Linked DNA regions of Caenorhabditis elegans. The protein of the gene in region 1 interacts with the protein of each later gene in a biochemical or structural test. Each region holds a gene or a part of one and is shown on either strand. Other genes may lie near its edges.

Region 1 (7,646 bases):
TCTGTAAATTCTCAGGCAGGTTTCAGGCAGGCAGTGGAACCGCGCCTGCCTACCATGGAAGTCCTAGTTCCCGTAATATGGTCGATTTTCGAAGAAAAAAAATCCGGCACTTCCGCTGACTCACGTAGTGCCAGGCTGCTGTCCCATCACGGGTTGATCTACAAAAAATGCGGGAATTTTTTTGGCCCAAAAATACGTGACGTCAGCACGTTCTTAACCATGCGCGAAATCAGTTGAAAAGTCTGCGCGTCTCAATCAACTCCCGCATTTTTTGTAGATCAACGTAGATCAAGCCGAAACGGGACACACTCTGACCACATTTCCGCTGACTAATTGTGATCTACTTCTTATCATCCCGCCAACCTCCCCCGCCACACCCCAGTTTTTTCAGACATTCCCCACTATCGGTTTGAATTTTCTTCCTCTCACCTCCCTCGCCACTCTCTCTCTCTCTTTCACACAAGATGAATCATCATTGGCATTCAATTTGCAAATCGATGTCTCCGCTCTCTGTGTTCTCTGTGTTCTCTGTGTCTCTCCCCACTCTCTCTCTCTCCCATCATCATCATCATCACTGTACCATTCTCTATGTCAGTGTCGTTGTGTGTGTGTGAGTGGTGTGAGTGGGGTGTCTCCAACCAACACATACAGTAGTGACTCACTACCAGTGATCTACCCAGTGGCCATAATTTTTGACGTCTATACGTTTTTTTTTTGCCGAAAAAATTGCTCCAAAAAAGCAATTTTTGTGGTTTTCCAAGCGAAAATCTGGAAATTTTCTGAAAAATTCCATTTTCACCGTTGAAAATTGCGATTTTCGTGATTTTCCACGTTTTTGAAGTTTTTCGGCCATTTTCAAGCTATTTTCCGTTGCTCGAATTCGGTTGAATTCCACCAAATGCACAAATTTGTTCAGAAATTTGGAAATTCGCCGGATTTTCATGGATATTCTGGAAAAATTCCATTTTTTAACGTTGAAAATTTGGAATTTTCGGTCAAAATACGACCAAATTCACAAATTTATTTGGAAATTTGAAATTTTTCTGCGAAATTCCATTTAAAAACGTCGAAAATTCCATTTTTCCATAGATTTTCGTGGCGAAAACTTAAATTTCCACCCTTTTCAAGCGATTTTTCCGTTGAAAAAGCGACCAAATTCACAAATTTGGCCGAATGAATTTCACGGAAAATTTTGAAATACCTCCTTAAAGGCGCAGGGACTTATTCAGATGGGTCTCGCCGCGAGAACACAGTTTTTTTAAATTTTTGTGGCTTTTTCAATGAAATTACTTGATTTTTAGCGAATTTTGTCGTTTTCCTCTCATTTTTTTTGGTGATTAAGACAATTTTCACCAAAAAAATGGGAGAAAAACGACAAAATTCGCTAAAAATCAAGTAATTTCATTGAAAAAGCCACAAAAATTAAAAAAAACTGTGTTCTCGCGGCGAGACCCATCTGAATTAGTCCCTGCGCCTTTAAGGAGGCATGTGTCGAATACTCATGAAATTGCTCATTTTCAAGCGATTTTTCCCGATAAAAGCCCATTTTTCTCGCATTTTCTCCTGTTTTTTCTCTTTTAAATATTTGTTAATCTCAATTTTCCAATCTAATTTTTTCTAATTTTCCCTTTTTTTTGCAGGGCTCTACGGGTGTTCCCTCTCGCGTTCCTCACTCACACACACACATAGAGATAGATGGCTGCGATTAGAAAGAAGGTGAGCAGCAGCTCCTCTCATTCTGATGCTCCGCGGCTCATTAAATTGTGCTCAATTGGAGAGAAAATTGGAGAAAAAACGACGAAAGTCGATAAATTCTCCTTGAAATTACAGAAATTTCAGTTTTTTCAGCAATTTTTCGCGAAAATCGATGTTTCTCGGCGATTTTGGGGCTCTGAAGCCATTTTCATTGAAATTTAGTGAAAAAAATATGTGTTTTATCTAAAATAACTGAAAAATGGCTCAAAAATTGTCGAAATAATAGTTTTTGACAATTTTTGAGCTCTTTTTCAGTTTTTTTCAGATAAAATACATATTTTTTCACTAAATTTCAATGAAAATGGCTCCAGAGCCCAAAATCACACGAAAATATCGATTTTCACGAAAAAAAACTGAATTTTTTGTCATTTCCCTTGATTTTGAGGCGAATTTATCGATTTTTGTCGTTTTTTTCCCGAAAAAATCGAAATTTTCTCGGAAATTCCACTTTAAAATTGACTATTTTTTTGTTTTGCAGTTGGTGATCGTCGGCGACGGAGCCTGCGGTAAAACTTGCCTGCTCATCGTTTTCTCAAAGGATCAGTTCCCAGACGTGTATGTGCCGACTGTTTTCGAGAATTATGTTGCCGACATTGAAGTTGACGGAAAGCAGGTGCGGATTGGATGAAGAAATTGTGAAAAAATGCGATTTTTGAGCCGAAAATCGAGTTTTTCGTTCGGAAATTGACCAAAATGAAGGAATTTGTGATTTTTGAGCTGAAAATCGTGAAAAATTGCGATTTTTGAGCTAAACACGTTGTTTTTTCGACAAATTTTGACTAAAAGGAGCAAATTTGTGCTTTTCAGCCGGGTTTGAGCTTATCATTGAAAAAATTGGCTCGAAACAGTGAAAAATCGCGTTTTTTGAGCTAAAAGTCATGTTTTTCCGATAAATTTTGACTAGAAGGAGCAAATCTGTGATTTTGAGCTGAAAATAGTGAAAAATTGCGATTTTTGAGGAAAAAAAATCGTATTTTTGAGTCGAAAATTGCCTTATATTTTTTTAAGCTGAAAATCGTGTTTTTCAGCTATTTTTTTGCTGAAAATTCCCTATTTCTCAAAGTTTTCGTGAAAATTCCCCGTTTTTTTTACCAAAAATTTAAGAAAAATTGGCAAAAATGACTGTTTTTCGCCTATAAATTGACTGAAATGCACACACAAATTTACGATTTTAAGCAAAATTTTGAGGAATTTTGAGAGATTTTTCAGAAAAACTTGTGTGTTATTTTTCGAGAAAAACAGTATTTTCTGCCATTTTTTTACCTAAAAATCCAGGTTTTTAGCTAGAAATTCAAAATTTTCCAAAAAATGCCAATTTTTTGCTGAAAATCCGAGTTTTCGCCCCCCGAAAATTCGAATTTTTTATCCAACAATCCAAATTTTAAACCTAAAACTCCTGGTTTTACACCAGAAAATTCGAATTTTCTCATCTGAAAATCCAGGGTTTTTCACAAGAAAATTCGAATTTTTTACCCGAAAATCTAAGTTTTTCCTCTAAAAATCCAATTTTTTAACCTAAAAAATTCAAATTTTTGCTGAAAATCCAAGTTTGCTAGCTGCAAATCCAGGTTTTTCCCTTTTCAAATTTTACCAGGAAATCTAAGTTTTTCGGCTGAAAATCCGAGTTTTTAGCCACAAAATATATAAATTTTTCCAAAAAAAAAACCAATTTTTACTTATAAATCCAAGGTTTTTAGCTAGAAATTGCCATTTTTCATATTTTAAAATCCAAAATTTTCACCCGAAAATCCAGATTTTTACTCTAAAAAATCCAATGGTTTTTACCTAAAAAAAATTCAAAATTTTCCGAAAAGTGCAATTTTTTTGCTGAAAATCCGAGTTTTTACCTCAAAACTCCAAATTTTTAACCTAAAAAATGCACATATTTTTCCTCTAAAAATACAATTTTTACCGAAAAATCCAGGATCTCTAGCTGACAATTCAATTTTTCATTAAAAATCAAAGTTTTCCCCAAAAAAACCATTTTTTTAGCTGAAAATTACAATTTCTTACCTAAAATTCCAAATTTTCCTCATAAAGATTTTACTTATCTAAAAATTCAAATTTCTAGAAAAAAATCCGAGTTTTCTTCTCTAAAATCCGTTGTGTTTTTAACCTTAAAAATTCAAATTTTTCCAAAAATAGCGATTTTTGCTGAAAATCAAAAATTTTCCCTAAAAATATCAATTTTTACCTGAAAATTCAAATTTTTCACCTAAAATTCCAAGTTTTCTAGCTGAAAATTCAAATTTTTCTAAAAAAAATAGCAATTTTTGCTGAAAATTTAAGTTTTTTACCCGAAAATCCAAGTTTTTAACCTAAAAATTCCAAATTTTCCCTAAAAATATCAATTTTTACCTGAAAATTCCAAGTTTTTAACCTAAAATCCAATCCAAAATTTTAGCCTAAAAAATTCATATTTTTCCTTTAAAAATACCACCATATTTACCTAAAAATCCAGGTTCTCTAGCTGAAAATTCAAATTTTTCTAAAAAAAATAGCAATTTTTGCTGAAAATCCGAGTTTTTCGCCCGAAAATTCAATTTTTCATCCAAATATCCAAATTTTAAACCTTATAAATTCAAATTTTTCCAAAAATAGCGATTTTTGCTGAAAATCCAGATTTCTTCCTCTAAAAATTGAAATTTTTAACCTAAAAAATGCATATTTTCCTCTAAAAATACAATTTTTACCTAAAAATCTCGGGTTTTCCCTAAAAATTCAAATTTTTTCACTTAAAAATCCGAAATTTTCTGCAGGTCGAACTTGCTCTATGGGATACAGCTGGACAAGAGGACTATGATCGTCTGCGTCCACTCTCTTATCCGGATACTGACGTCATTCTGATGTGCTTCTCAATTGATTCACCCGATTCACTGGAGAATATTCCAGAAAAATGGACACCAGAAGTCAGGCATTTCTGTCCAAATGTTCCGATTATTTTGGTCGGAAATAAACGAGATCTTCGTAGTGATCCACAGACTGTTCGAGAATTGGCAAAAATGAAACAGGAGCCCGTGAAGCCTGAGCAGGGACGAGCAATTGCTGAGCAAATTGGAGCATTTGCATATTTGGAGTGCTCTGCGAAGACTAAGGACGGAATTCGTGAGGTACAACAAGCAGCAGTAGCACCGAATTGAGAGATGGAAATTATTTTGGAAATTGAGCGAAATTTTTGGAAATTTCAGCCGAGAAAACCCAAAAAATTTTGAATTTTTATGAAAAAAAGGGTTTTCAGAAAATTCGAGCTCAGAATTCCAATTTTTCTGCAAAAAATGATGACTTGCGAAGAAAAATTGGAAATTGTGCGAAATTTCCAGAAATTTCAGCCAAGAAAACCCAGAAAATTGCAATTTTTATGACATTCTAATGATTCGAGCTCAAAATTCGTGATTTTTGCGAAAATTTATATTTTTGACGATTTTGGCCTCTAAAAAGCTGTAAAAACTGCAAAAAATCCGAATTTCAATATTTTATGGGAAAATTGGGTGGAATTTTCGGAAATTTCAGCCTCGAAAACCCAGAAAATTGCAATTTTTATGAAAAAAAAAATGGATTTTCAGTGATTTTCTGAAGATCCGAGCTCAAAATTCCAAATTCGACGATTTTGGGATATAAAAAGCTGCAAAAATCCAAAGTTTTCGTGAAAAATTTTCCGAAAAGTTGCAAATTTGTGGAAATTTTCCAGATTTTTTGAAAAAAAATTTTTCAATTTATGTGAAAAAATGAATTTCTTATGATTTTTTAAAGATCCGAGCTGAAAATCGACGATTTTGTGCTCTAAAAACTGAAAAATCTGAAATTTCAATTTTTCATGGAAAATTATGGAAAAATGATTGGAATTTCCGGAAATTTCAGCCGAGAAAACCCAAAAAATTTTGAATTTTTATGAAAAATTCCAGATTTTGGCGAAAATCGATATTTTTCGACAATTTTGGGCTCTAAAAGGCCGTATAAATTTAAAAAAAAACTGATATTTCAATCTTTTTCTTGTAAAACTTCACCTGGAAGATATTTTCGATATTTTTCGACAATTTTCCGACAGTTTCAGCTGAATTTTCTAAATTTTTTGGAAATTTGGCCTAAATTCAGTCAAAAATCCGATTTTCGCTTCGAGACCCAAAAACATTGATTTTTTTAAATGAAAACTTAAAATATGTCCAAAAATTTCGATTTTCCAAAAGTTTAAATTACAAAAAATTCAATTTTTTTGGAGAAAATCACTTTAAAAAAATATTCGAAAAATTGGAAAAATTACAGATAAAAATTCAATTTTTGCGGAAAAAAAAATCGTTCTATTTTGAACAGAAATTTTCGAATTTCCCACAATTTTTTCCAATAAAATTTAAAAAATGGCTCAAAATTGAGCTAAAAGTCTCAATTTTCAACAAAAGTTCATCTAATTTTCCCCCAAATTTCCAATTTTTTCCAAGAAAATCGAAAAAAAGTTATTTTTCTGATTTTCTTTTAAAAAAAAAATTCAGCTAAAATTCTCACTTTTCCATTGAAATTTCCCCGAATTTCCAATTTTTCAGAAAAAAATTTGGAAAAAAGTCTTTTTTTTTTTAATTTTAATAAATTTCAGTTCAAATTTGAGGTTTTTAGCTCAATTTTGAGCCATTTTTCTGATTTTCATTGAAAAAAAAATAATTTAGCTGAAATTCACCAGTTTTCCCCCAAATGTTCAATTTTTTCAAATAAATTTTTAAAAAAAATTTACAATTTACAATTTTTTCCTGATTTTTTTCCAGAAAAAAGTGAAAAATTGCTCTAAAAGTCTCAATTTTCAGCTAAAATCCGAAAAAAAATCGATTTTTTTTTCACTAATTTTTTCCAATTTCAGGTATTCGAGAAGGCGACACAGGCGGCATTGCAACAGAAGAAGAAAAAGAAGAGCAAGTGCATGATTTTGTAAATCAATCGATAAAATGTCTGCTCTTCTTCTCTCTAATTCTCTCGTTTTTTCTCTCCCTCTTCAAAAATTGATTTTTCATCATTTTCCCCCCATTTCCCCCATACAAAATTTGAAATTCGCGCTTCTCTATTCCAATTTTTTGAGGTGGTGGCCGTGGCCTTGAAACTTGAAAAAGTTAGGCCACCGCTCTCTCTCTCTTTCTCTCTGAAATTCCAAATCACACATCTCCTCTCCCGCCCACACACACACACACATTTTATAGCTTAATCCCCGAATTCCCCGAATTAAAAAAAAAATTTCCGTTTTTTTTTTTGATTTTCACAATGTCAAACTGTGTTATTCCTCCGTTACCCCTCCGACGCGCTTACACACTTTTTTCTTTAAAAAATAATTTTTTCTCTGCCAAAATCACTAATTTTTCATTTTTATTGAAAAAACCTCCATCGCCCCATCGCTACTTTCCTATCTTAGCTTCAATGTAACAGGTTTCTATTTTTTTTTCGTCGAATTTTTTTTCCTAGCGAGCTTTAGCCAAGGATGCCGTTTTTCGACGATTTTGTAGAAAATTTTTTCAAAAAAATTGGACAATTGGCCAAAATTGAGCTATTTTTTGAGAAAATCCGGAAAAAATCGGAAATTTTCCGTTTTCTCCTGAAAAATCGGAAATTTCCCTTTTTTTTTACGAAAAAATCGATTTTTAGCTATTTTTCGAGAAAATCTGAAAAAACAAAAAAATTCCGTTTTCTCCTAAAAAATCGGAAATTTCCCGTTTTTTTAAATGAAAAAATTGAAAAAAAAAAATCGATTTTCACCACATTTTGAGATATTTTTACTGAAAAATCGGAAAAAAATCGAAAAATTTTCGATTTTTAATGAAAAATCGGAAAAAATCGAAAATTTTTCGATTTTAAGGACTCTTGGCTCCAGAGCTTGCTCCAGAAAAAAATTATCGATTTTTCTCGATTAATTTAAGAAA
Region 2 (6,378 bases), on another chromosome or scaffold:
ACTCAAAAAAATGGGAATTACTGAATTTTCTGAGTATATAATTACCAATTTAAAAAAAAAAAGAATATTTTACTTTGAAATATTACGGGAACACTGAATTCTGAGAATGCGTATTACACAAAATATTTGACGCGAAAAAATATCTCGAAGCGGAAACTACAGTAACTCATGAAAGACTACTGTAGCGCTGGTGTCGATTTACGCGCTCGATTTTTGGAACTAATTTCTGTTCGAATTGTTACCGCGATAATCAATTTTATTCCGTTAATTTGTTTTTTTTTGATTTTTTTATCGATTACTAAATTGTTTCCGTAAATCGACACCGGTGTGCTGTAGTTATTTTAAGAGTTACTGTAGTTTTCGCTACGAGATATTTTGCGCGTCATATATGTTGTGCAATGCGCATTCTATGAATGTTTCCCGCGCCATCATAATAATTCAGATTCAATAAGCAAACGTAACATGTTTTGTCCTACTAAGTTTCTCGAGATGATTTTTGATCAAAGATGTGGAGAAATAAAAGTGCACCATCTTATTTCGTTGGAAAAAAATTGCATTGAAGTTAAGAGATGGGTAAAGTAAAGCACAATACTAAAAATAATGATAATAATGGTGGTGTTGATGATCAGATATTACACAAGAAGCAACACTAAAAAGGAGAAAAACTCGGGAAAATCGGAGAGAAAATACGAGAAAAAAGGGTTTCCAGTGGAAATTGGAATGAAAATGAAGCTGGAATGAGGAGAGAAATCGCGATTTTTTGGGTGCCAAAGGCTAATTCTGATAATGTCAGATGGCAACAAAAAAACCCCAAATACACATGGAAATTGGTAGTTCTTATTTGTAGAATGATAAGCTAGAAAATCTAGTAGTATCTAAAAGAAGAATACGTGCGGGGGATAGAAAATGCGAGATTTCAAGTACTTGAAAAAGTCTGGGGAGACAAAAAATGGGGATGAGGATCGTAGAATTGAGACAAAAAATAGTGAGCCATAATTCATGAAAACATACAAGAATTTAATTTTTAGAAATATTGCCCAGCATCATTGGAGACCCGTGATGTAGTTGGAGTGGCAGTTGGAGTGCTGATCGCCGAGTCGGTGGATTCAGAGAACGCGGCATTTCGAAGATCCGAGACATCCGAAAAACGATCCGAAAACGGGTCATTGCTTCGGAGTGATGATTGTGACATTGCTGACAATCGACCGCTCATCGATGTTTCGACGCGTTGCAAGTGCTCGATTTCCTGGAAAAAATATATTCTTTGAAATTTTTAATTGTTTTTTTGTGGAATAGAAAATAAAATTTTCTACAACAAATTACCTGAAAATGATTGACTCTGGATCGCACTAAACCGCAATTGTTATTCCGTAGAATTGCAACTGAAGGACGAGATTCGACGGAAGCTTTTCTGCTTGGCAGTGCCTGAATTAGTTTTTATTTGCCAATCACTACAATTTTTATACTTACAAACTCATCAGTTGCAGACCTCAGCGCATTTGTGTATTTTCCAAACTCGAAATAATCACTTGATCTTGGCGACATCTGATTCGAAGATCCTTGATAGGAAGCTTGAGCTGGCGCCGATCTTAACGCAGTCGGAGTTTCCTCGATGCTCTTCGTTTCTCGAAGATTTGATCGATTCGGTACCGAAAGCGTCGACTTTGATGAGTGTGCTTGCCGGGCCAGCGGAGAGATTCCCGATCGGTTCATTTTCTTTGGCATCGGCAATTGCGGAAGCTTGAACTGTGTTGACGGTTCTTCAGGTTCCCCGGCAGCAGCAACAGGAAACTCGAATCTATTATCGATTGATACGGATCGAATTGGCAGTTTCGGCGAGAAAGTCTTCGGCATCCGTGGATGCGAAGGAGAAGTTGGAATACGCCGTGAACCGTCAGATATCGAGATTCGTTTCATGTCATCGAGAGCATCCAACGAGACTTCCGACTTTCCCGGAGTAAGATGGGGTGGTGAATGTGGAGGAATCGGCGGCGGTGTAGATCGCTTAATTTTGACTGCCAATGGAGATAATGTATGTGATCTTGGAGTGAGATTGGTTCTGAAATAAACGTATGTATAGTTTTCTGCATTTTCGATATGAAACTAACCTAGGAGACGATGTGATCACTTGAGAAGGCGCAGAGTTGTTCGTCATTGTAACGTGCTTTAACAGCGGTGACATCAGTGAACTCGACTCTCTTCGGACTTCCGATGGCTTGTCTAAAGGAGATTCTGTGGCCTTCGAGTATGAAAGATGAGCTCGGCTCCGTCTTCGCGAAAGACTAGGAGTCCTCGTAACGGATACAACCTGCTTCGTTCCAACCCACGCGTGACCATTCTCGTGTGAAAGTTTCTGTAAAACATACGCCTTTTCAACTTTCAAAATTGATTATTTGTTACCGTCGGCGTATCCATCACCATTGGCGACGTTGCAATGTCACAGAACTTCTTCATTTTCTTCAAATTGTCCAAATCCTTCCTGAGCACGACTTTCGGCGTTTTTTGTGGCGATTGTGGCGACTCCTCTTTCAACGAGTCCATCACAAGTGGCTCCGCTTTCAACATACTCGTCGATTCGACAGCCATGGATCCATTGAGCACCAGCATGCTTCCTGTACTGATGTGTCTCATCGGAGCCGCCTTATTCTTCCTTCCCTCTCGCCGCGATCTGGCTTCCAGTGCTTTCTGCTCTAATAACCATTCTGACTGATCCACATTGTTCGTTGCGTCTAGCGTGTCATCAGTCTCGCAGTCCGCCTGATTCTCCTTCTCCTCCATGGAAGATCCGTTATTGAGAAATGAGTCATTTCGATGAGGGAGGCTGGCACCAACAGTGTTCGGCCGATTTCTGCGGAGCCTATTGCTGATGGGAGCAGTGTGACGCCTGTTTGTGAGCTTCACACCATTAGACCTCGGCTTCTCACCCAATATCACAGTATTGCGTTTTCGAATTTTAGATTCTCGATTGCGTTGATGCTCGGATAATAGAAACTCTGAAAATGTAACATAAATTATTTTCCAGAATGGAACGATTTCTCACCTGCAACATTCATCTGCTCATTGGACATTATTTGTTTTGCAAATCGCATTGCATCCGTATTCCGATCGCTGGCCGACAACCGTCGAAGAGCTCCACTGCTGAGAATTTGCTCGGACTCGAACATCGTGGAAATCGTAGACTTTCCACTACCGTTATTTCTCGGTGTGGCGTTCGTGTTCCCTCGCCTATTCTGATGGCTTCTCGATTGTCTTCCAGACGCTGTTGATCCCGTCGACATGGTAGTCGACTCATTACGTGCCACCTTTTTCCGATGAATTAATGGGTCTTGGTGAGGATCGGTGTGCAAGTTCAATGAGCATATGTCCGTCAACTTGGATGGCTCGGCAGTGTGTCCAGTCGTAAGGCGTTCCGGGCTTGGACTCTTGGTTCTCTTCATATTCGAAAAACGATGTTTAAGGTCGCGAAAGCTCGGAAGAAACGATGCGGATCTCTTCTTCTTCGAATCCTGTTCGCCCTTCTTTCGTGCAGTCACTATTTTGTGCACCGCTTCTGAATCTCGTCGGTGAATGGTGAGAGGCGTGGATGGGCCCGGTTCTCTTCTTTGAAGCGAAGCTGTTTGAGCCGAAAGACAATCCGCATCGGACAACGTTTCGTATCCACTGCTCATGCAGCGTGGCATAGCGCTTGAGCTTCGGAGCATTGCGTTACTGGTGACGTATGGATCACGACGGACACCAATTAGATTGGCCTGAAATCGATATAAATTAGCTTTTAAAATTAGGAAAAAAATCAAACTTACATTGGTAATTAATAATTTAACCGCCGCCGTGTTCACATTCATTTCATGTCTTTTCTGCGCCAAAATATCCTCCTTCGAGCCACGACGGAGCTGCGGAGTTTTCTTCGAATCATGAATTCCGTCACCGAAAACACTTCCAATGAAAACGATAGCCAAATTTTCAATTGACATCTTGTGTTGCTCACTGTGGGCGGCGATCTGGAAGAAACGGAGTTTTGGATAAGAAAATTCAAATATTCTCGCCATACCCTGTTCAGCTGTCTCATCACATATCCCAGCGTTGACGCATGCGCATCTGAGAGCAGCGGTGTTTGTTGCTCAATCGTTCGATCCTCCATGTAGAAGACATCTGCCATTTCATCCCGCGTCATCAAAAAACCATCCGAAATTCTCGCCTGGCATGCTTTCTTCAGAAGTCGGGCTCGGCACTCTTCAGAGTCAAGAAGAGGTGGTTTCAGATCACGAAGGAAACGCTTCACCATTGTACAAACGTCAATAACACTGTAATCGTTCGGAATGTCGCGTTGTCCCTTGTAGATCGCCTGAACTTCTGCGCGATTCAGCCGGACAGAGTTGCCTTCCTTGCGGAAAATACCATCAGTGTCCATTCCGTGCTTCGAGATGATGTTGAACGCGTTCACAATGAACTTGGGAACTTCCTTCAGACGTATTCTCGTCCAGCCGGTGCCGACGTTCACGTCCAGAGTGACATTCGTTGAGCATACCTGAAAATGCATATTAAAAATATATTATAGATTCGAATAGTTTTCCAGCACAAACCTCTCCAAGAGTGTAACTAAATTTATTTGGCCTCGGACCTGCGCCGGCGATCACTCCGCTTGTCGTCGAGCCTTTCCGATACACCGACGAGGATGTAACGACACGAAAGTCGTTGTGTTCCATATATTCTCGAGTTAGTCAGCCTGAAAAATGTTTGAATTGATAGTTCGAGAAGCCTATAGGCAGGAGAACACGTTTTTAAACGAGAAAAAGAGAGATATTTTCATTAAATTAATTTACGAACATTTTTGAATCGAAAAGCTTATCAACTTTCAATAGAAACGCATGATAACAAGTAGAAATACGGAGAAGAGTTCAAGATTCGAATTGTGTGAACAGCGTGCCGCACAGGCTGGCGAATCTTAAATTTCAGTTCATTTTTCATCAGGAGCATCAATATTACAGAAAAAAAGCATTGAGAACACAGAGAAGCGTCGATTCTGCGTCCAAACCGAGAAAAAAAAAATCAAATTCGCATGATTATCGATAATTTTTTAAAAATTATCCTAATTTAGTCAAAAATGAAAAATTTCCCGCATTTTTTCTTATTTTTTACAACGGGTTACTGTAAGAACCTGCACATCTTACTACGGTGGATGTTTACAATTTATACACCGAATGCGTACTGCACAGCGCGCATTTTAATTGACGACATTTTGTGAAAACTGAACTAACATTTTATAGAAGTTTATTTTTTCAGACAAAAACTTGCTTTTTTCAAAACTACTGTACTTATTGAAAGTGAATGTCTGGGCAAAACGGAAACTGTGCGGTGAATACGATTCCATCATTTTGTCTTTCTAGATTGAAATTGAACCGGAAAGATGGGAAAAAGGCAAAAGAGAGATAGCCGCAAGAAAAAGGTTCCGAAGACGTCAAGAATTCAGAAGAAAAAATATTGGTCTGGAAGCAGAGGTTGGCTCAATTGAATAATCAACTCAATATACCTTTTTTATTATTCAGGTTGAAAAGCTGCGATTTGAAGCTTCCAATAATTCTCGCGGCGTGGAGCTTGAGCAACAACTCGAATCTGAATCACTGAAGAATGAGCACGAACTTGTTCGCAAGATGATAATTGATGATATGGAGAAACTGGAGGCATTTCCTTGTCTTCTAATCAACTTTTTTTCTGACTTATTCTCCCAAAATCCTGCAAATACCTCGTTCAGATTTTTGTATGTCCACTCATCCGTTTACTCGCCAACACTAGGCAACTAAATAAAACTACTGGTGGTTAATGTTGTATATCAAATGGCATAAAGTAGATACACACACAGACACAAGCAACTAACCAACTACTTGCTGTGAGGCAACAGTTGTCCTTCTGGTAAAAAGTGGGCGGAGTGGGTGGAATGAAAAAGCAGCAGGAAGAAATTGGGGGAAATTGTGGGAAAACGGACAGTTTGAAGGGTTACTACAACTGACGGTTTCTTTTCTTTCACTGACATGATTATTTCGACTATTTGTTTTCTAATATTTGGGATCAGTCATATTGGTGAGTTCAAGCAGTCTCTAATGATCTAGATTTAAATAACTTTAAAATATGGAGCATACAAGACAAGTAAAAGTTGAAGTTCGACTAATTTGTGTTAAGTTCAAAAAGTTGTGGGCCTTTAAATAGTACTGTAATTTCAAAACCGTTTGTTGCCAAATTTTCAATAAGTTCTTATAGTTTTTTTGAAATAATGAACTTTAAGTTGTATAATGAATAAATATATTTTCATCAAAAAATAATGAAAATCGATAAAAATTACAGCACTCCTTTAAAGACGCACAGCACAAACGCTTCTACAGCCTG
Region 3 (4,874 bases), on another chromosome or scaffold:
CGAGACGACACGATTTATGAACACGAAATTGGTGAGAAGAATACTTGATAAGGGAAGAGGGAGGAAATATAAACATGAGGCTAGCAAAACCCAAGTGCTGAGGAGGATATGTAGTGGGTAAGCACTCGTGTTTTTATCTAGAAAACTTCTTTGAATCAACTGTTGATTGGGAGTTCTAGGTAGGCTTTTAGGAAGTGACGTGGTTGAAGACTTTGATAGCAGGCAGGCACGTAGTCATGCCCACGCCTGCCTACTCATCTGCATGCCTACGTGCCTGCCTATCGCTTTTTGAGTTTATTCTTACAGGGATTTCAATTAATTTGTATAAGGTTCACCAAAGGCATGTAATAGACTCATAGGTACGTAGGTATACAAGCACGTAGGCACGCGAGTCCCTGGCAGGCATAGGTCCCCAATATTCCTTCAAGGTTTACTTCAATTTTCATTTCAAAAATTTGAAATTTCACCAAATTCCACCCAAAACTAAACTATCAAGTAAAGTTCAGACATCTGAACGTTAAAGTAATTGGGATGCTGTCTAGAACGCTCAAAATTTTTCAAATAAGAAAATTATTGTAATGGTCTCATAACTTTGACCTTAAATTAATTAATTTTAACGATATTGTGAGTGGAAAACTAGCAAAATTTTCAAATTTTGATTCTGATGTAATATTAGATATGCTTAACTTTGGCGGCTCATATCTCGGCGGTCTCTTGCGTCATCAAAAAAGTGTCCACTGACGAAATGTTTTGCTTGAGTTTTTCTATAGTTCTGTAATTGAAAATGTGTTGCTATCTTTGATATGAAACAAGATACAAGCCATCAAAGTTGGCTGCGGTTCTAGTTAAAAAAATTTTACTAATATTTTTTCACATTCCAGCTATCGTTTCAGATCCCATTCTCTTTATCAACAAAACTAATTTTTTGAATTCAAAAGCTCACATCTAATGCATTCCTCTGAGCGTGCTCATTTGTCCAATCATTGTGCAGAGATGGTCTCCTGCTTCGAGCATGTCCAACACTACTGCTCATCTCGTCGATCGTTGGTGGAATCGACGGAAGTGATGGCCTGCGAGTCGTCCGACGCTTCTCGGTGTTGATTAGGTTGCTGAAAATGAAGAAGTTGGTATAGGGTTGGGAAGTTGGAATTTTAGAGAAAAAAAGCTGTTAGAAACTAAAAAAACACTAGAACATTCTTGAATATATCTATAAAGTTAGGAGTACCTAATTTTCTAAATTTGCAAAAAAAAAATTTAGTTAAAAATTAGAAAATTCTGATGAGTTTTAGCAGCTCAAAACTCTAATCAAATTAGCTTTAAAGTATATTTTGAAATTTGGAATTTTTTTTTTGAATAATCTACGTGCTTCCAGTCATCCACCCACATTGCCTTTCTATGTTCCCAGTCTTAGGAGGCGCTTTCCGGGCGTTTTTCAGCCCCCTCTTTCAGTAACTGATATATTCATTACCTCCATAACCCATCTCAACACCAAAAACCATGTTTCCAGAAGGAACTCCGTCAAAATTGCAATTAAAAAAGAGAGTATCCAGTACCACCACCCAAATAAAAAAATGAGATGATCACTCAAAAATTGTCGCCTTAGGGCACATTTTGAAATTTCGGTTGAAATTAATTTTCATCTCCCCGATCCCTTTATTTTGCAGCACGCGATATTTGCACTTGACTGATTTTTTTTGTTGAATGGAAAGAAACACCCAAAATTCCACAATATCAATGCAAATGGGGGAAACGATGACGCTCCTTGTGGTCTCCGCGCGAACGGATATCCGTCGGATTTTCATTCACAATGGTACTAAATCGTGGGAAAATTTGAAGAGAAAAAAGTCATAGAGTAGAGAAACCGGGAAGAGAACGAAGACTGATAAGAATCGGGAAGACAATAGAAATAACTATTTGAGAAAAAAATTGATAAAATTCATTGCTTCGGCATCATATAACTCGGCTTATTTTTATGCTATCAAAAAATTGTCAACGATCAAAATATTTATTATTTATTTTTCTATAAATTTGTAATTCAGCAATTACAGCTTTCTACTAAAGTGACCGAGATCTGAGCTGTCAAAATAACTAGCTTGGAGTTTAAAAGTAGCAATGAAAGCTTGAATTATGTAACGGTTACAGCTACTTCTAGAATTTTAAATAATTTTACTACTTTTGTAAAACTACTGGGACGGTTTTTAACGGGTTACTGTAGTGTAAAGGGACAATAATTTGTTATAAAATTTGGAACATTTTCACTCAAAAATATTTTTTTAAAAATCCAACTTTAGATTATTCCGCAAGTAACCGTCTACGGAGCAATTTCACTGATAATTTTCAAAAATTCTAGTCAAATATACGTTTCAACAAAACACATAAGACAAATCTCCAAGTGACGTGAAAACCCAAATGCTAAACAGAATAATATCTGAAAGGGGCACAGGTGAAAATCCTCGAAAATTTTGAGCTGAACTTTGATGTCAGGACAGCTACATTTCGGGAGGGTCCGTGCAGAAATTGTGATTGATGGTTTCGGATTTGAAATTGTTTTTTGTTTTCATTTTTATTTATAACATTTTTGACCCTTGGCCTTGGTGGATCTTCCTTAGCAAAAAAAGAAGCAATAATTAAGCTAATACTATGCACGAAAAAATGAAAGCATAATCTGATGATGAGGATTAAGCTCACCTGCTCGACTGATTCCTTCTAAACATACTCTTCCGCTTCCTCTGAATACTTTCCATAAATTTGAAGGGCGACGACGTGGACGAGGTGGGAAGTGCGGGGAGCTCGTCTAACGGTGAGCCGATGGTGGAGCAAGATTCACGAAAGAATACTGAATCGTCTCTATCCAAAGGTCTCGGCGAGGGGGGCTCTTCTCTAATCGAATCCAAATCCACAAAGGCCGCCGGACACGCGGTGGCGGCGAGCAGCGTCGTCGCCCCATTATAGCACAATCTCATTGCGGATAGGGGTTCCGAAGATGTGAAAGTGCAAGGAATAGAAGTTGAGGGAGTTGCAGAACCATTTTCCAACATATTTTTTTTTCTGGAGTTGGGAGCTGGAGCGATCCAAAACGGGGGGAAACCAGGACCAATAGAAAGGGGCGGCGCCTTGTCTCCTCTCTAGTTTTCCCCCTCCCCGCCGCCGCAACTAGAGAAAGATGAAAAGTGAAAGAAACCAAGAGAGGAAAAAGAGTTTACTGATAGATATCTAGCAACTTTTTCCCCTTTTTTTGTGTTGTGCTTCTCTGGAAATTTTCGACTCTTCTCCCAAAAATAGTCAAAAAAAAAGTCAAAGAACGGAAGGAAATGAGAATGCATAGCTGAAAACAGAGCGGAAAAGCCCAAACCACGAGTTGTTGGATATTTTGAACCCGAAAACTTTTTTTAGCTTTTAAAAAATGTTTCTCAGAATTCCTAAATTTTCGAATTTTTTTAAACATTTTATATGAAAAAAATTACAAAAAATTATTTACGGAAAATTGCGCTAAAATTGTGAAAAATACAGTATGCCTACATAGGCAAGCCAAAGCCTAAGCCTAGGCCTAAGCTTAAGCCTAAGCCTAAGCCTAAACTCTCCGTAAAAATTCGCGCTGATCGGCCGATAGGAACCCTTTCAAAAATCAAAAAAGCCGGAAAATCCTAAGCCATGCTTGAGCCCAAGCCTAACCCTAAGTCCAAGCCAAATCCTCAGCCTAAGCCTAAGCCTAAACTTGAGCATAAGCCTAAGCCTAAGCCTAAGCTCCTTCAATTTTTTAACGATTTTTGAGTAAAATTTTTCAAATTTCGATTTTTTTAGAGTAATCAATTTTTTCCAGAAAATAACAAACAATTGTTTTGAAACAAAAAAAAAACAAAAAAAATTTGAAAAGTTTTTTTCACAATTTTCACATTTCTCTACAGTACCACCCCAAACACTTATTCGTCGCAAGACCACAAAACAATTTCAGATTCTCTCGTTTTCCAGAATGTTTCTTCTACCCACGTCACCAAGACCTCAAATGAATCAAGATGAATCACAACGACAATTGGTTTTTCCTCTATTCACAGAAACAGAAAACAAGCAATTTTTCCGTCAATTCTTATTCTTGCTTGTTCTTGTGAATATCATTGCAAATGTCACTTTTGGAGGTGGTTCTCAATGGAGCGAACTTGAATTGGGAAGCCGACCCTCACAGTTTTATATGTTTTCATCGACCATAACATTCTCAAAACATAGGAGTTTTTGTCTTTCTAGACACCAAAAAAATGTTGCTTTTGGACGGGGACTCAACAACTCTTTGATTCATTAGAAATTCATAAGGATTTTCCTTGAAGAATGGTGCGCGCATGTGTAATTGGTGAACCCCTCAGCAGCCCAATTTCTTATTCATAAATCCGATCCGAGTCACCCAAAACCTAAGGAGTCAACTGTCGAGAGAGAGGACGATGAAATGGAGGTCACGCAATATATGCAGACAGGCACACGAAACCCTAATTATGATGAGGGTGACACTATTGGGTTATTCGAAATTTAGAAAAAGTCCAGGGAGAATTTTAAAAATAAAAAAAGAGAGGGTTAAGAGTATTTGGAACTGTAGAATTTCAGACAAATTGCCAGTTGAAAGATATTTGATAGCTACAGTAATTCTACATAAAAGTATAATTTATCAAAACAGTATTTTTCAGAAATTTGGTTCAATTTAATTAGTTTTTTTTTTAATTTGAAATTGACAAATAAAAACTAGATTTGAAGAAATTATCTCATTCTTGAACAAAAACCTGAGCCTAAGACTAAGCCTAAGCCTGAGCCTAAGCCTAAGCGTAAGTTTACTTTTTTTGCTTTATTCAAAAAAAAAACAGTCTAGGGAATTGGTTTGTACATTAGATGGA
Region 4 (4,757 bases), on another chromosome or scaffold:
TTACTGGCAAATATATGTTCCTAATAACATTAGAGATCTTCAAATATTTGTTTCCCATTAGTAACCACCTCAATTTTATTTCCGAGGTGTGGAAATAACTTGTTTAGGTGTGGAACTGAATTGTTTTAAAGTTTTAATTTTCGAAAATATAATTATTTTGTGCCACACTATATCTGTGTTAAAATTCACAACACTTCCAATTTTACGTTTTTGAATTAGTCCAATTCTTAGGCTTTTTGATTTTCTCTCTCTCTCTCTCTCTTTCCCAGCCAAAAACTAACCGCGTTCAAATACTTTAAACAAACGAGAACTGTATTTTCTCGCACTGCTTTTGCTTCACTTGCTCCTCGCAATCAGTGCACAGCGGTGCCCTAGAATGCCCGATTTTGACATTTTTACCTTCTCGTCCTCCTCCACCACCATCATCGCCCACCATCAGCGATTTCCTTGCGCCACTCCCTCGACGATTCGGTTTTCCACAAACATTTTTCCACGCACACACACACACACACAAGTTTATGTGTGTGTGTGAGTGTGAGTGTGTTTCATTTGTGTCACTCACTCTACTTTTTTCTCTCTCATTTCACTATCCACCCATACTCGAACTGTATTTATTTGTCTGTTGTTTGTGACTCTCTCTCTTAGTGGGCGAGAAGATTCCTAATACTTGACATGATATGCGTTATTTCTTTAACTCGCTCTTCAATCTATCAATTGTTCATTTAAAGTTTGAAATTTATCATTCTGTTTAATTTCTAATGTTTTCGATTACTCAGCAGCACGACTTCCTTTCTTGTTCTTGGGCAAGCAACATGATGAGTCATTTGTTAAATTCCCAGAGTAACGAATCAATTGATAAGGGAAGACTATTTTGCTTGACGTTGCATTTGTTCTACTTCTCATCACTTGAATTTTTGGCTCCTCCAGTATGTCATATGTTTCTACAATGACTGATTTAAGGCAACTTGTTTTTTTGTTTTCTTTCGTCAATTTTCGACAATACGCATATGCTTAAAGGGTCAAAAAGGTCAGTCAAAAAGTGGCATAAGTTTTTGCCACTTTCTGAAAAATAGAACTGTTCAAATCAGAAACGACATTCAAAAAATTGGTGAGAACTGAGTTTTCACTGGTTTTTGATTCGAAATAAAAAAAATTTCCAAATTATTTTGAATAGTTTTATTTTAATTTTTTAGTGATTTTAGCATCATTTTAGTATTTTTCCCATATATCCAGAAATTGGATTTTTCCATCTTGTACATGGAAACAAATGATATAGGCGACGCCAGCAAAAAAAAAAAAAGAAATCGCATCAGAAGAAAGCTTCACAAATCTGTTTTACCAACAATTTGTCTTGAAGAAGAAGAGAAAAAGTAGGCGGAGACGAAAAACCACACAGGAGTAGAAAAAGACGGTGGGATAGATAACAAATTGACATTGTTCAACCATTTCGCCCTCCTCTCCGTGTGTTTGTCTAATTCTTCTTGTCTCGAACGAGGTTGTTCGGTTTGATTATGAAATTTCTTTTCCGGTATTTTTCCAGTTGCCCATTTGCCCCATTATTTTTTTTGGACGTTTTCTCTTTTTGTCGCAAGATTTTGGTTTCGACCGTTCGAGTCTTTGCCCTCAGAATCGTTTTTGTCGTAGGCACTCATTTTTGGCCGCATTTTTATTCGCATTTCTTTAAGTCGTTCATAATTGCAATTCTTCGATTCTTGGGTTTTCGAATATTCTGGTTCTTTCCCTTCTTCTTTTTTCTGACAGCGCTTACCCCCCATTTTTCAGCGGAATTATGTCTGACCACGAGAACACTGGTGAAAACACCTCCGAATATCAGTACAAGCAACCACCACAAAAGAGCATCGACGAGCTTCTCAATGCTGACAAGGTTTGTTAAATTTATTTTTAACAAAAAAAATTGAACATTTTGCGAAATTGCTAATGGATGTGGATTGATGAATCTGATCACAAGACAGCTTTGGCCTTCGATCTATTAATAAAAAGTAGTTAATTGAAACAAAGAAAGCCGAGCCAAGCTACGTTCAAAACACAAAATCCTTGCATTCAGGCTACAGTGTTCTGCGAGTTTTAGGTTTGATAATTGTAAAATAGAATCAAAAGGTAGTGCAACGGGCGGCAATTCACCCCGGCAAACTCGTTTTGGTATGACAATCTAATATTTTTAAGTAAATGCTGAAATATAGAAAATATTTTATTTCTTTGAAAATGAAATTTACTTTTGTAGAAAAACTTAACAAGATGTTGAAAACTACCTGAAACTTGTTATTAGTAGAAAGAACTGCCGTTAAAATGTTATCGGCACAACACTAATATCACCTCTTTCTGATTGTTGTGTCAAAGTTTTCTTTTGAGAATGTATATAGAAATATGTGTATTTTCCAAAAACAACGATAGCTTTGATAAGTTTCTCAAAAACTGTCTCATAATCTGTATATTCCTCCTTGAGATAGTTTTTGAACACTTTCCCAAAACTTTTCATACAAAGGAGAGTTATTTTTGGAAAATGCATATATTCGTTACTAGGGGTGGCAAGAGTGCGACCTAGGTCGCTAGGTCGCTGTTTTCATTTAGGTCGCATCGCGACCTAGGTCGCATTGCGACCTGCGACCTAGCGACCTGGGTCGCATTGCGACTTGCGACCTAGCGACCTAGGTCGCATTGCGACCTGCGACCTAGCGACCTAGGTCGCTTTACGACCTGCGACCTAGCGACCTGGGTCGCATCGCGACCTGGGTCGCATCGCGACCTGCGACCTAGCGACCTAGGTCGCTTTGCGACCTGAAGTACTGACATTTTTTATACTAACAAATTGCTACAAATCATTTATTTTACATTGTTTTCGATTTCTTATCCATAAGACACCTTGTCGAAAAAAGTTAGAACAGCCGACATCCGCCGGATTTTCTGCTTTTTTCTACGTTTTTAATTCGAAAAGTGGAAAATGAAATTTTAGAAACAACAAAAACCACAAAAACGTGAACTTTTTGAAACAATTTGCTGAAATGCATGGTTTTATTTGTAGAAATGAATTCTTTGTTCCGTACTTTTGAAAAAAAACTACGCATAAACTTATAAAATCTTAATAGAGAAAATGTTAGTGGAATACACATATTCTGCAATCTTTAGTTTTCGAGTTATACGGATTTTAACAACTCAAGTGAATCAAAACCGAAAGAGAACAAAATGTCGGTAATTCAGGTCGCAATGCGACCTAGGTCGCTAGGTCGCAGGTCGCAATGCGACCTAGGTCGCGATGCGACCTAACCCTCTAGGTCGCAGGTCGACCTAGGTCGACCTATAGCCACCCCTATTTGTTACATTTCTATACAAATTTCCGAGCGAAAAACTTCAACATAACAATGAGAAAAAGGGCATTTTGTGAATTTTCCTAATGTGCCACAATTTTGGTCTCTATTAACCCTAATAAACTTTTATAAAAATCCAATGACAATCACATTTTAGTATGAAATTTTTACAGGAGGACGAGTCTCTAAAAGTGTACAAAGCCAAACTTCTCGGCCAAGGAACAGTCATTGTCGACGAGAAGAACCCACTCCGCGTGATTGTCCGATCCGTCGAGCTGCTCATTAATGGTAAAACTGCGCAATCATTTGACTTATCGGATCCAGCAAAACTTGTCAACTCTGACTTGTCTGTTTCCATCAAAGAAGGTTCCAATTACCGGTTAAGCTTTGCTTTCCATGTGCAACGCGAAATTACGTCCGGATTGCAGTTAGTTTTTTTGTGTGTTTAATCTTAACTTAAAATAATAAATTGTTTCAGCTACAAACATAAGGTGAAACGATCCGGTATCACTGTGGAGAATGAGAAGTACATGATGGGAAGCTACGCGCCAAAACTTGAGATTCAGGAGTACAAATCACCAAACGAAGAAGCTCCGTCTGGAATGATGCATCGTGGAAAGTACAAGGTGTACTCGAAAATTACCGACGATGACAACAATGTGTATCTTGACTGGCAATGGACCCTTCACATTACCAAGGAGTAGAATAATTTTCCGCCTTTACTGAACCTCATATTTATATTCAAATTCTCAATGAAAATGACTTTTTTCTCCAATTTACCGCCCACCCCAAATGTTTTCCTTGTTTTATGGTTATTATTGATTTTGATGCACTAGTTGTGTTGTGTGATGCCTCTCCCCTTTCCCCGCCAAATTGAAATGATATATAAAGTGATATTTCATAATCATTTAAAACAAAGTGTACTGTTTTGTGAAACGTTGGAAACTAACCAAAAAACACTAACTTGCTGCGTTTCCAAAAACTTAAGATCCTAATACGCATTTACACGTTGTTCCGCAATATTCACGTGGTTTCAGCTGGGCCGGAACATTGTATTAATTTCAGAATTAGAGATTTTATTTTGATACAATAAGAATTGAACTACAAAACGTTACAACTTTGAAAATTTAAAAGAGTACTAACGGTTTGGAAGTTTTGAACGTATAAACCCAAAATGTGTTAAAATAAATTAATTTCGTAATAAAAAGTCAAAAAAATTTGAATAGACTTTTCTCACAAAAATCCAAACTTAAAAAAAAATTTACCAGAAACTTTGTAGCAAATTTTCAGATCTTTTTACTGAATACCTAAGTATTTTTGGTACTCGTGTGTTACCTAAAATTACTCTGTAGTTCTAACTTTCAAAATTACTATGTAGTTCTAACTTTTAAAGTTACTTTAAGATTAGTAAATTGAATTCGTGCAAAATGTTTG

The links.
Region 2: of the proteins of rho-1 (region 1) and rga-3, one has a biochemical effect on the other in vitro, tested with the Caenorhabditis elegans proteins (one study listed by BioGRID).
Region 3: the proteins of rho-1 (region 1) and rhgf-2 form a complex in vitro, tested with the Caenorhabditis elegans proteins (one study listed by BioGRID).
Region 4: of the proteins of rho-1 (region 1) and rhi-1, one has a biochemical effect on the other in vitro, tested with the Caenorhabditis elegans proteins (one study listed by BioGRID).

What each region holds. Positions count from the first base shown.
Region 1 is NC_003282.8:16,483,016-16,490,661, reverse strand, and holds the start of rho-1 (Ras-like GTP-binding protein rhoA), read left to right. Parts: upstream 1-1,640; 5' UTR 1,641-1,695; coding exon 1,696-1,716; intron 1,717-2,233; coding exon 2,234-2,368; intron 2,369-4,514; coding exon 4,515-4,865; intron 4,866-6,598; coding exon 6,599-6,670; 3' UTR 6,671-7,646. UniProt on the Caenorhabditis elegans protein: Required for ventral migration of epidermal cells during ventral enclosure in the embryo and for cell elongation. Also required for ventral migration of P cells during larval development.
Region 2 is NC_003283.11:5,716,230-5,722,607, reverse strand, and holds rga-3 (Rho-GAP domain-containing protein), read right to left. Parts: upstream 4,724-6,378; 5' UTR 4,704-4,723; coding exon 4,581-4,703; intron 4,526-4,580; coding exon 4,049-4,525; intron 3,999-4,048; coding exon 3,801-3,998; intron 3,750-3,800; coding exon 3,041-3,749; intron 2,994-3,040; coding exon 2,401-2,993; intron 2,354-2,400; coding exon 2,109-2,353; intron 2,060-2,108; coding exon 1,471-2,059; intron 1,426-1,470; coding exon 1,324-1,425; intron 1,247-1,323; coding exon 1,025-1,246; 3' UTR 519-1,024; downstream 1-518. Other genes in the region: K09H11.9 (Neuropeptide CCHamide-1), read left to right, coding at 6,027-6,075.
Region 3 is NC_003280.10:4,105,445-4,110,318, reverse strand, and holds the start of rhgf-2 (DH domain-containing protein), read right to left. Parts: upstream 3,039-4,874; coding exon 2,689-3,038; intron 1,110-2,688; coding exon 944-1,109; intron 1-943.
Region 4 is NC_003284.9:4,506,727-4,511,483, forward strand, and holds rhi-1 (putative rho GDP-dissociation inhibitor), read left to right. Parts: upstream 1-1,782; 5' UTR 1,783-1,789; coding exon 1,790-1,885; intron 1,886-3,496; coding exon 3,497-3,750; intron 3,751-3,801; coding exon 3,802-4,027; 3' UTR 4,028-4,219; downstream 4,220-4,757. UniProt on the Caenorhabditis elegans protein: Regulates the GDP/GTP exchange reaction of the Rho proteins by inhibiting the dissociation of GDP from them, and the subsequent binding of GTP to them.